2 linked regions of the Drosophila melanogaster genome follow. The protein of the gene in region 2 interacts with the protein of the main gene of each other region in a pairwise test. Each region holds a gene or a part of one and is shown on either strand. Other genes may lie near its edges.

Region 1 (4,715 bases), on a different chromosome or scaffold from region 2:
GCGATTGTCACGCCCTTTGCTCATTACTCACTTAGGCCAAGACAATATCATTCGATTGGGCCAGTAATTACCAGTGTCATTGAATGGCCCACACATCTAACACCCAAAGTGATTAGGCACTTTATAGCCGAAAAGCGTTGAATCACTTTGCAGCTCACAGCTGCGGTTCTCGTTTGGTATTGCCTTGCGTGTCTTTGCGTTTTCCTTAGAGTTTCCTTTTGGCCAAGGCCAAGGTGTTTTGACCTTTAACCGGTAAGTAATAGTGCCCAGATGTGCTGCACAAAATGTTTAAATTTAACATATATCATCTACCAATATTTATTTTGTGTGCTGTCATCGATGCTCATTCCAATAATTGAATATTTGAATGATCAGCCATTATATGGCGTCCACTCACCAGGTTTTTATTATATTTTATTTTATTTTTTACAGTTTCCAAGTTCATTTTTTCAATGTTGGCTCGTGTGAATTTTATTTATAACTTTTCTATTTACAGTTTCGTGTAGCATACATCCCGGCGACCGCCCCTTTGCCCCGCATTCACCCACTTGCAAAACAACAGCAGCCACTTTTATGTAGGCTCTGTACCTGTATCTGTGTGTGCGCCGTGTGTGTGAGTGGGGATGTCTCTGTGTGTGGATGAATGAAACTAGAGCGCACCTTGATTCTATTTTTAAATGCCACACAAAACAACAATTGTCGCTTAGTTGCGCGTTAAGTGTTTTTCATCCAGCTTCCCGCGACCAAGTTCATTTTATTCTTAGGATGCAGATGCAGCTTTTCTCGGCTAGAAGCACTTAAAATAGTTGGCCAGGGATTATATAAATAGATGACAGCGAATTTAGTTTGGCAAGGACCTTGTCGTGTAAAATCGCTTAAAATATATATATTAAATCTCCATATATTTGATTAATTACATAATGTGATTTACACTACTTGAAGTTACTTTTCAAATCGGTGAAATTAGATTACAATATGACCAAATCAATCACGAATCAATGTCGCACGAGTTGGAAAACTATGCCAAGTTGACTTTTTAATCGGCTTGTGCATCTAAATGGAATTGGCATTTATTTTATGGTTTATTGCCAAGCGGCACGATAGTTGCTTTTGTTGCTTATCAATTGTTGCGCACAACTTTTGTTTGTTTGTTTCCTTTTAACAGCTTGTCACGGATTAAATGACACGGAAATTGGGTTGAATAATGGGAATTTTTAATGACGCAATTTAAACGCCATGTAAAAAGAGTTTTACCACTTCTGGGAATAATTCATTTTGTAATATTGTTAAAGAAAATAAAACAAACAAATCGTATACTCAAGGAATATGTTAGTATATTCGATTCTCACCCATATATTACCGCAATGCTAAAAAATAACATATGTAAAGCTTCACTATTTTGGAAAATTATAAACAAGTTGTCGACACTTCTGCCAAAAGTTAAAAATATGTATGAACAATTTAATATATTTTCACAGTGCCGTAAACAGTAAACAATTGCAGCCAGGTGCGTCTTCAAACACAGATTCTTATTTGTTTAAATAAATATGAAAATTAACATTTCAATAGTAAATCGAAGCCTCACATCCAATTTTAAATATAATCTCACAAAAATACTCTTTGATGCGTTTTTTAAACATTTTCATTATTTTCCTCAATTATTGAATGAAAAACCTGGCACAGCTCAAACTTCAAATAGAGCCCATAAATATTTTCCATAATTTTGCGAAAAATAAACAAAATATTCCAGACTGTTTTTTCGCATTTTTCAAGGTGAGTGTGTGAATTTTCACTAGCCTGCGTGTGTGTGTGTGTGGGTGCCTCTGCGAAAATGCGATGGTGTGCGTGCGTGCGACTTTGGCGCCTAGTCAAATAAATCGCATGCGATTAAAATTTTATACAAATAGCTTTAGAAGCGTGCGTTTTGCTTTGTTGTGTTTCATTTGCCGTGCCATTTCCACCTTTTCACTGTTTGTTTTCCATTTTTTTTTTTTCATTTCTAGTCTTAAGCTGCGTTGTTTTTGGTTTTTTTATGGGGGCATGGCGTCAGTTAAATGAGTTGTTGTTTATAGTTCTTGAGCATGTGTGCGAAAAATTTGCATTTGTAGCGTAACGCTTTTGTTTACTTTGTAGGTTAGTTTGTTGGCCCATTGACTTATATACACACACTCGGCTAAAATATAACATATATATTTACCTTCGATGCCTTTTGATGGTGACGGCAGCAGCGGCGGCGGCGGCGGCAGCAGCGGCGTTGACGAAGAAAGCGGCGAAAGCAGACGGAGAAATTGGCCAAAACGGAGATGAGGGAGGTAGGAGGAGTTGGTGATGGCTGATGGTTGAGATGGGTGGTAGTGGGCGGTTGGGTGGTGGTGGGTGGTATTAACCTCAAAGCATGTCAGCAAACAGCTCCTCGAAAGCACTTGACTTGACTCCTTTCGATATTTATATTTTCCTGCCCTCCTTTGCGTGCCTCGTTTTAATTTGTTAATGATTTGGGCTTATTCATTTATTTGCATTATTTGGCGCTCACTCTTCCTAACTCTGCTTATTTGGTGTTATGTTACATTTTAGCAAAACTTGCGGTCCTGTCTCAACGATTGTTGTTGCTGTGCGGAAAATGCCAAGCAGCAAATGTAGCACGAGCAGCAGCAGCGGAAAAAGAAACAAGAGGAAAAACTGTATCTTTTAGATCCGGGCATATCCTTTATCTCGAACAGCGACTGCGACGCTGGCTGAGGCAGCAGCTGTAGCTGTAGCTGGAAAATTTCCTCCAACTTGTTTGTCTAACTCTCGCGTTGCTTTTCAAAACGATGTTTTAGCATTTAAGTTAAATTTAAAGCTGCAAGCTGCAATGATACAGCAGCAACAATCGTTTCCATATATAAAATCCAGCAAAAGAAGAACTCGATAGCAGCAAAAACCGCGCAGCGTTTTCCCCGTTTACCGTTTCGCCGTCAGACACACACTTTTCCCACAAATAAAGCCAGAAACCGTTCGACGCGCGCACGCGAGTGTCCTATACACAACTGATTACAGGACTGCGAAAATGGAAAATGTTTGCCAGCAGCGACGCTTCGGCATTCGGTTTTCCCTCGCTCGGAAAATCTCCGGCTATCGCAGCCAGGCTTCTGTTGCCGAAATATCCGGAGCCACTCCGCCGGAGACGGAGAGCGAGTTCGCCGGAGAGTGGGTGCGCACTCACTTGGGTTGCGGGCGGCACATAGGGTATAGCATAGCCCTCGGCGGTTACAGTGGACTAAGTAGCCACATAACGCATATAATTAGTTTGAATTGTAATAATATTGGAAGAGCTGTTTTAAATGGCAAATATATTTACTTGACTGACAACGTGGCGTATGAGTAATTTTTAAAATATGTTACTAATGAAAGACAGCCTGTTTGTGACATTTAAATTCATGACAACTATTATTATATTGTATATTATAATAAAATAATTATTATTTTATTATAAATGATTTTGGATAAGAGAAGGAAATATTTATTTACAAAATCTAGAAATTGTTGAATTTATATCTCGCACATAAGAAGTACTGCTGAAAGCATCTTTAAGATAGTTATGAATCTTCCAACACCCTTGAAAGTAGCCCACTGTGCAAGCAACACTCATATTCCTCATTCATCTTGCTCAGCCCGCACAATTGGCTGCCAAAAGTATTGCCACACCAGTGTCGGCGACTTCGTCCTTTCACTTGAACGCCAAAAGTGAGGCAGTCTGGCAGCCTCTACTTTTCTGGTCCTGGTCCCCAGTGAGGGTCTTCTTCTGTTACGCTGCTGTTATCCTGCAGACCGCGAGGGTCCTGAGAAATGACACCCATGAGTTCAGGATGAATACGACGCCACGACAGCCAACCAATCCTCCATTTCGCACATATGTACATATGTACATACATCGCACATACCTATAGTGTACATATGTATGTACATATGCTCGTCTGTTGGACATTTGCACTGTTTTTTTTATACCAACGAACGGACGCGTAGGGTTTACAGCCAAATGACAAGTGCTTAGTGTTTTGCATATGCGTGTGTGCGTACACTGAGAAAAATTTAGTTTTATTTTTTTGATCTTTTATTCGTATATAATTCTCATAAATAACTCGAAATTATTTTATTTCACATATCTTACAAACTAAATGTATATTATTAAAAAATAAACACATTTCTATTAAGTTGATGAAAAATTTTTCAGTGCTGGATTTAGCGGCTTGATACCCCCATTCTCATTATTCAAGCTGGAAAATGGGCAGCTCGGGGATGGGGACAAGTGTTTGAAGCACTTGGCGCACGCTTGAGCGGCTTTCAAATTTAGCGTATTAACTCATTAAATGTTCAAAAGCTCATTGCCTGCGAAATGTGCACACATTTCTGTGAATGCGAGCGAGGGTGTGAAATATGCACAAGTATGACACTTTGGCACCGAGGGGAAGACAGTTTTAATACCGCTTAATGGGCAATCGGGCGGAAGAAGCTTGAAATAAATAGAATTCCCTATACTCCTAACAATATCAAAATTTTTAATTAAATTTCTAATGACCATGGAAGAACGCTCGGGGACCTAACAATATAGGGTACAGTACATAAAACATGCTGTGAAAAAAGGGGTAAAAACAGTTGTTGCCTTGAGAGCTGGCATAATTAGTCCTTCTTTCGTATGCACCTCTTTATGCAATTTAAATTAATTTGTGTAATTA
Region 2 (7,890 bases):
GCAGTCGCCTGCTCCTCCTACTGCTGCTGCCACTTGTCAGCTTGTGTCCAAATGCATTGGCACTCAATCGACAGGCGGATGCTGGCCAGGCTTTGGATATGGCAGCGCAGCTGGCGGATGCGGAAGCCGAAGCCAGGCCGGATTACGATGCCGATTCCCCGGATACGCCGCACATACGCAAGAAGCGACTCATCTGGATTACGGATGATGGCAGATTGGCCCTGCCGCCGGGCACTTCGCTGACATTCGTGCCAACCATTGCCATGCCCCTGGTTCGGCATCCGCCCGAGGGATTCTTCTCCAACCTGACCATCAGTTTTCCCGTCACCAGTGCGTAGACAGCTCTCAATGTCAATGATTAATCAATTAACTCTGATTTTTGTTGCCTCAATCCACAGTTGACTTCGACAAACTGGGCCTGACAGACAACCAAAATCCTCTGGGGGATCTGCCGCCGCTGTTCGCCCGCTCCTTTGGTCACGAGGCAGGCCACATGGTTGGTGAATATGTGGCGAGGTATCTGCATGTCCAGCGCAGGAAGAGGGATCTCAGCGAGCAGCGGAGCAGAAGCAACGAGGATCATCCCTTTAGGATACACGAAGAGGGTCCAAAGTATCCGGAGCTGCCAGCCGGACTGCAGCATATTTTCCATGGCGGAGAGCGGGTTTTGCTCTATGGCGTAGTGGAGGACTTTCTATCCACCTTTGGCATGGATGGCAAGGCCTGTTTGCTGAGAACCATTTGTGAGATGCACTCACGAAGTTTGGAGAAGTTCGGTGTCTTTGGAGAAATGACAAAGCTATTTTTAACGTGAGTAATTTCCTCCTTTCAATCGTGATTCTTTGTTACACAGATCTCTCTTATAGGGTAACCAAATCTCCGTTTTCCGACCTGGTACCCGACTATGTACAAGCCCAGGAGGTGGGCGAGGGAAAGCAAGCACCAGGAGAATGTTTTCCCTACTTCAAGGACTGTCCGAAGAGTATATTTAAGGCCTTGTCCAGCAAGTATAGCAAACCAGCTCCTGCGAGCAAGACGAAAAAGACAAAACCCACAGACAGACCGGTGGGCGAATATCATGAGGAGCAGGTCATTCAACTGCCCACCACTCGGGATCAGGACAACAATGTGTATATGTAGAACAATGACCAACTCCCATGCGAACCCCTATTGTTGACCTCGTCTAGATGTTAGGATTACGATTGAGTTGAGCGCGTCCTCAAAGTCACTTGCTTGTAATTAACGTGTACTAATTAATTTATAATTATTTATTTTATTTACGCATTGTATTTATTGTTAGTCGTAGGCGTTGTTAATTGCTTAGATTTGTATCCATGTTTGTCTAGTGGTCTGTAAATAATTGAAATTGTGGCATAATTCCTTCCTTTCAACAAATGAAAACGTGTCGAATGAATAGAAAATAAATTTCCCTTGAAAGGTGCTTTATAATTGTTTTCATTCAAATAACAACTTACGGCAATAATGGCCAAGATATGTACAACATTGCGTTTTTAGATTTAAACTGGCGCCAAAAACGACAACTGCCTGCATTGCACAGCACTATCAGCAGTTACAAATCAAAGTTTGAAACCAAATTAAAGTGGTTACACTGGCAGCTAGATTTGGGTACTCTCCATGTTTTTGTGAAAGTAATATATGAAGCAAAATAATACTTAACGGTACTTAGTGCTCGGTTTGTAGTTATGTAATTACTTAACTAATTGCTCATTTTAAAGGGAAGATTTAAATTCAAATTTTGTGTATTTATAAGAAGAAGAAAAAGGCACTTCTGACAACTATCGAGAGTAAGACATCGATAGCGTAACGACTTATCGAAGGAACCGTCGGTCGTCAGACCATCTCTAGGTCAGCTTTGTTTTGGTTTTGCAGCGAAAAAAACATCAGCGTCGTGAGTTCTCTTCGCTTATTTACCAAGCCTCCCACAAACAAGCCAGAGCATTACGTGTTGCACAGATGTTTGCGGATCGTCGAGGAAATCAATAAACGAAAGGTGAGTGCTCCTGGGTGGGGGCCAGCTGGCGCTTCAGAACCGCGAAAAGGCGGTGCTGTGAGTCAGGCGATGCGATCGCTGATTGAATTGGATTATCACGATAGGAGCTCCCATCAAATTGCCAGCCGGCATTGTAGTTGTTTACATTGCGCGGACGTGGCGCAATATATTTTTAATCTTCTGCGGCAACCTGCTGATTAAGATACCCCCGAACCGTTTCATTGTATAGATAACTTGGCAGTTGAACTCCGGAGCTGGAAGAGGATGGACACGAACGCTGGGGAGTCGCTGGGAGCATCGCCGCCCTCGAGCAATGAGGCAGCGGCGGGATCACAGTCCCAGAGCGATGCCTCCGAGGAGGAGGAGTATCTGGACAACAGTATCGAACTGAGGGGCTATCTCAGCAAGTGGACGAACTACATCTATGGATGGCAGCCACGCTACATAGTCCTGAAGGATGGTACACTCTCCTACTATAAATCCGAATCGGAGTCGGATTTCGGGTGCCGCGGAGCCATCAGCCTGACCAAGGCCACCATTAAGGTAGGACGGCCGAAAAGAGAGAGGGTGGAGCTCCTTCCCCAAGTGCTTTCAATTGGACTAATAAAAAAGTAATGGGCGTGAGTGTGTGCGCATGTGTTTGCGACACATTAACCAACGATGACCGCGACCTGAGGTCTCCGTTTCCATTCCCAAGCCAATACACCCATTCCCAATCCAATTCCGAGCGACGCAATCAATGCAGCGCAATCAATTAACGTTGGGCGACCAAAATAGACCAAAATTGAAGTCATCAATGTAAGTGGGGTACCCCTCAGACCTAGGCGCTGCTAGAAGGCCTTCTGTTGACAGGAGGGCGTGTTGTTCTAGGAGGGTGTTTCGCCATGAGTGTGTACTTATCTATTTATACTGTAGGAGCTGCCAAAAGCATATACACAATGCTGACTCACTAGAAGCGGCCCTTCCATTCATTCGCCTTGACTTTGCGAACACTGATCTTATTCAAAGATATTGAAGCCTCATTTAGTTCAAAGAATTTTTCCCAACAATCCAAATAATAATTATCACCGATTTAATCGATCATGATTGGATTACTTGGATTACTTTACAGTGAAACCAGCTCACTTGTAGTTTAAGTTACTAATAATTGGATTTATTTGCAAGTGATTCATTTAAAATTTTAATTAATTTTCACAAATTTCTCTTAGTGTTTTGACTCATTCAGGTTCCACTGTAATTTCCATTTGCCAACAATAATCTTGTATTCGGGTGTTTTCCTTGTTGATTTCATGTTTACCACTGATTTGCGTTCCGCTATAATCAACCATTCAAAGTTAATTAGGTTTTTTTTTCGTCGAATTTATTGTATTTCGTTTTAATAACTGGCTTATTACTGGCATGAAATTTTCATTTAAAATATAAGTAAGATAAACCGTTTATTTGTACCTATTTTGTGCCTTTTACTAAGTTCAAGTTTATTTTTCTTTTGTAGGCCCATGAGTCCGACGAGCTCCGATTCGATGTTGTGGTGAACAACTTAAATAACTGGTGCCTGCGGGCAGAGACCAGCGAGGACCGCATGCACTGGGTGGATGTGCTGCAGCTGTACAAGGCGGACTCCGGCAGCACGGACACCACTTCCTTGCGCCGCCATGGCAGTACCATGAGCCTGCAATCGAACACTATCTCGCTGACCAGCGGAGGAAGCCTAAAGAAGACGCAGCGCAACCTGCGCGAAAAAGTCGGCGAGCTGGAGACCTTTAAGGATATACTATTTGGACAGATCGAGACTCTGCAGCGATACTTTGATGCCTGCTCGGAGGTGAACAAAAACAATGCGCAACCACTGGACCTGGGCGACGGTCTGAAGTCCATCGATTTCAAGGTAAAGTAGTGCACTTATCGGGCCATTGGTATATGTACAGTGTACTAAGCAAAACACTCGATTTTCTCAGGGCGAATCCATCACGTTTCGGGCCACAACGTCCGGCGTGCTAACCACCCTGCAGCATTGCCTAGAAATCATCGCCGAGAGCGATGAGTCATGGAAACGGAAACTGGAGCGTGAAATAGATAAGCGTCGACGTTCTGAGGACCAAAGCAAGTAGGTTGACCTAGTCGGAATAGATTCCTACAAGAAGAAGCAATTTCAATTACCTTTTTTGTATTTGCTTGAAAACCATACGTTTCTTTAAAAATTATCATGCTATTTCATGGTTTAATTTATTTAAAAAAGGATTAATAATGTATTTAAATTTAATGTGTACATTCATTTCTGAAGTTTATTCATTTAAACGATATTAAAACTATGGTAAAATTCTATGTTTCTTCTTTGCAGAAAGCTCAAGGATGAAGTTGAGAAAATGAAGCGTCTATCGTATCCTGGCCCAGATTTCGAGGTGAGTTCAAGTTTACAGCTCTCGTAAAAGCAAAAGCGTAATCGCATTCACGGTCATTGCTGCTCAAATCGGGGCCAAACACGTTCCCACTGAAAATGCAAACAATCGCCGAATGAGTGGCGCGAAATTCGTATAAACGATTTGCGTGCGATTTGTCGGCGTCTTAAAATAAACTGCCTGATTCGACGTTGTGTCAGAGATTTCATCATATGCAAGGAAAGTAGAACACGCTGGACTATTATTCAAGCGTTTTCAATTCGATTATGGAATGCCAGTATTTGGTTCCGAATTTTGGCTGACACGAAGTTCCCGTGTTCGTGTTAATCTGGAATTGGTCATGCAATATCGTTTTTCCGCTTACATTTGTTTGCCCAATCAATTCCATTTTAATGGCATATGTCCACAATAGCATTAGAAAAATGATGCTCTCCTACGAATTGTAAGTGCTCAACTTGGTTGTTATTCTTGGCTCGGTTACTTGGCGACTACTCAGGCTGAAAGACTGGGCGTCTAGACGGTTTCATTAGGCCTGTTTGACAGTTGGGCGTAGCTTAAGATCTACTTCGAGCCAATATTGCAGATATTGACGTTGAATAACGATCCAACCGTTGGCTAGAATGCACTTTGTGCAACGGGTATATTAACTATTACGTCTTCAGTGATCTTCATATGAAAATTTTGTTAGAAAATCCCGATTTAAGTGAACAATATATAGTAAACATGTACGTGATCTTTCACTATACGTTCAAGCTTAGAGCATTCAATATGCGGCTCACTTTTTGAGCTGTGGCTTTTAGCCTGGCTTACAGCTGTCAGGTTTATGGCTTATGAGCTAGGCTGGTCAGTCGGCGGTTAGCGATCGAGTGGCCAACACGTAGCAATTATAAACAAATTTGCTAGGCAAACAATTCAAAACGAGACTGTTTCTTTTTCATATTGGTCGTGGCATTTAATTGAGTGTGCAGATTGTGAAATTTCTTGCGTTGCATTGAAAGAGCTATAATAAATAAACAAGTGTACACAATTGTAGCAATCGCTAGTTCATGTTGCAAATATAAAAGCGCCGCACGCATCACTGTACAAATATACAAATTTATAAAATTATAAACAACGTCAACGCTATGCCCTCGGCGCGATTTCTGTGGCGCTCCGGCGGATTTCAGAAGGGCAGCGTTAAAAAAATAAAGGTACACTGAATTAAAATCATAAATAATTTACATAAAGGAGTGGTGGAATATATTTTTATAATATGTGTTTCGTATGGAAATATTTCAAGGCGTATTATCACTTTTATAAACAATAAACGTTTCAATATATCTCCAAATAAAATTTGATAACACTTTTAGTAATTTTGAATTTTTTTTCTATGTGCATATATAGCTGATAAAAAATATTAACAAACATCGTTGTGTTTTTGAAAAATTTCTAATCAGCTATGAATGTGGAATGTCAAATATTTTTTTATTATGATAAAAGTATTAGTTCGGAAGCATTGCTTTGATAAAATAATGGTATTTTTCCTTAGTGTATGAAATGTTGCCTAAAATAAGTTTCATAAAATGTTGATGTTGGTTTTTTCTAACCAAATTGGCCTCATTAGTGGGCCACCCCACTCGCTTTTGAATGTTGAATGTTTGAAGTGCGGTGGCCAAAGAACCCCAAGAATTGATTTATTATTTAAATGCAAGAAATCCTATCCATTGGAGCTTTTTGCTCTGTGCGCTTTTCGCTTTTTACTCTCAGTCGCCCGCTTTCTCCTGCTCTCTTTTTTTGGCCTTCTCTCTGCTCCGCTCATCCTGGCCAAGTTGGCCAGTGCGTTTGGGCCACCAGCAACAGTTTGTTTTGTGTCCTTGTGCTCGACGGAAGGATTCGCCAGGACACAAGTGCGCTCACTTTTCCTGCTTTCGCCTGCCACGCAACCCTTTCTCTCTCTCTCTTTGGCTCTCTTGCGGTGCGATTCCTGATTTTTTCCTGCTGAGAAGGAGCCTAATTTTTGCCGCCCAAAAACCTCTTCGCTTTTGTTGGGTTCAACTGCAACAATTGGTGGAGGAGCCTGGTAAGAGGAGACATAGCGACGCCACAGGAATAAGTACGCATATAGCCCATGTCTTCATTGTTGGTTAGCTGCGAGTGCCGCTTGGTCAAGATGATTATGCACTCGAATTCACGCCGCAGGGTGTATTTATTTCACCGCCTTTGGCTGCGCACATCTCTGCTTTAATTAATAAATATCAATTCAATTCCGCACAAATTCCATTCGAGGCATTTATTTTGCGCCGGTTGCCGTTCTGGGGATACACGCGCCAGTCGCAGACGTCAGAATGTGTACAGTGAACACTGGCTAGCACAGAATGGAGCGGATGTATACCTCTAAAGGGCCGAACTTCAAGGGACACTTTTCCTATATATCAATCCTAATTTCAGCATAATATTCTAAATACTCTCAAAATATTATGATTTTGTTTGTATATTACAGTAGCAATTTGGTAAACTCTGTTGCGAAATTCGAAACACATTGTTAGGAGGAAAAGAATTTTATAAATGGCAAATTTATCAACTTAATTAAATTTCGGCAGTATTATTGTGTAGCTTATTGGTGGTTTTTCCCCACGAGATGCCACTGCTTTAATGGGATTCAGTACCAAGTACCAAGCCCCGTCTGGCGGTCTTCTGCTTTCGTATTCATGGCACAATGATGCGCCTTTGTGTCCATTATGCTCGCCCAATTACGCATGCCAGCCGACTACGAGAATCTCCGCCTGGCGACTGGTCAGGGTATGGAATGGGCGAAAAAACAACAGCATAAATTTGATTTTCTTGGGCCATTTGGCCGCACAAGTGTCGGCGATTAATTTATACAAAGCACGTTCCATTTCTTTCCAATTGGATTGAATGCGGTTTCGTCATTAAAATTAATTAGGCCGAACCTTCAAAGATGCTTTTGGGCTAAACTTGACTTAGTTTGCTCGATGCTAATGGAGATATATGTATAATATGACATTTCCCTTTCAATTTCGCAGGAGGGTCCACATTCCACATTGCCCGAGGATGAGTTCTTCGATGCGGTCGAAACGGGCCTGGACAAAATCGAGGAGGACATGCAGCTGCGCTTCAAGCTTAAGCTGCAGTCCCAGATCTCCCAGACACTGGTCAACGTTCCACACGAGGCGGTGGCCGAGGGCGAGGAGGCGCGCGAGGAGTTCGGCACGGGTGCGGAGGCCACCAGCCATGCCCTGTGGCCGGAGGTAAGACCGGAAATTGCCAATCTGGCCCCCTAACGACCAGCCAATAATTGGATTTATCCCGCAGATCGATCGCGTGTGCAAGGAGCAACTGCATTACGCACGCGAGGGCGTTGGCCAAGACGGCAACGGCTGGCAAATCTTTGCCGACGAGGGGGAGATCAAAATGTACAAACGCGAGGAGGAGGTCAACGGGCTGGTCATGGATCCCTTGAAGGCCTATCATACGGTGCAGGGC

Evidence for each region. The genes of interacting proteins can lie anywhere in the genome.
Region 1: the proteins of cert (region 2) and CG5890 interact in a two-hybrid assay, tested with the Drosophila melanogaster proteins (one large-scale study listed by BioGRID).

Annotation. Positions count from the first base shown.
Region 1 is NT_033777.3:25,854,456-25,859,170, reverse strand, and holds the start of CG5890 (uncharacterized protein), read right to left. Parts: upstream 3,018-4,715; 5' UTR 2,198-3,017; intron 1-2,197.
Region 2 is NT_037436.4:8,283,834-8,291,723, reverse strand, and holds the start of cert (ceramide transfer protein), read left to right. Parts: upstream 1-1,853; 5' UTR 1,854-2,011; intron 2,012-2,240; 5' UTR 2,241-2,275; coding exon 2,276-2,554; intron 2,555-3,503; coding exon 3,504-3,896; intron 3,897-3,966; coding exon 3,967-4,115; intron 4,116-4,349; coding exon 4,350-4,410; intron 4,411-5,254; exon of another isoform or gene 5,255-5,531; coding exon of another isoform or gene 5,532-5,597; intron 5,598-7,430; coding exon 7,431-7,655; intron 7,656-7,719; coding exon 7,720-7,890. Other genes in the region: CG7201 (uncharacterized protein), read left to right, coding at 1-330, 399-810, 867-1,140.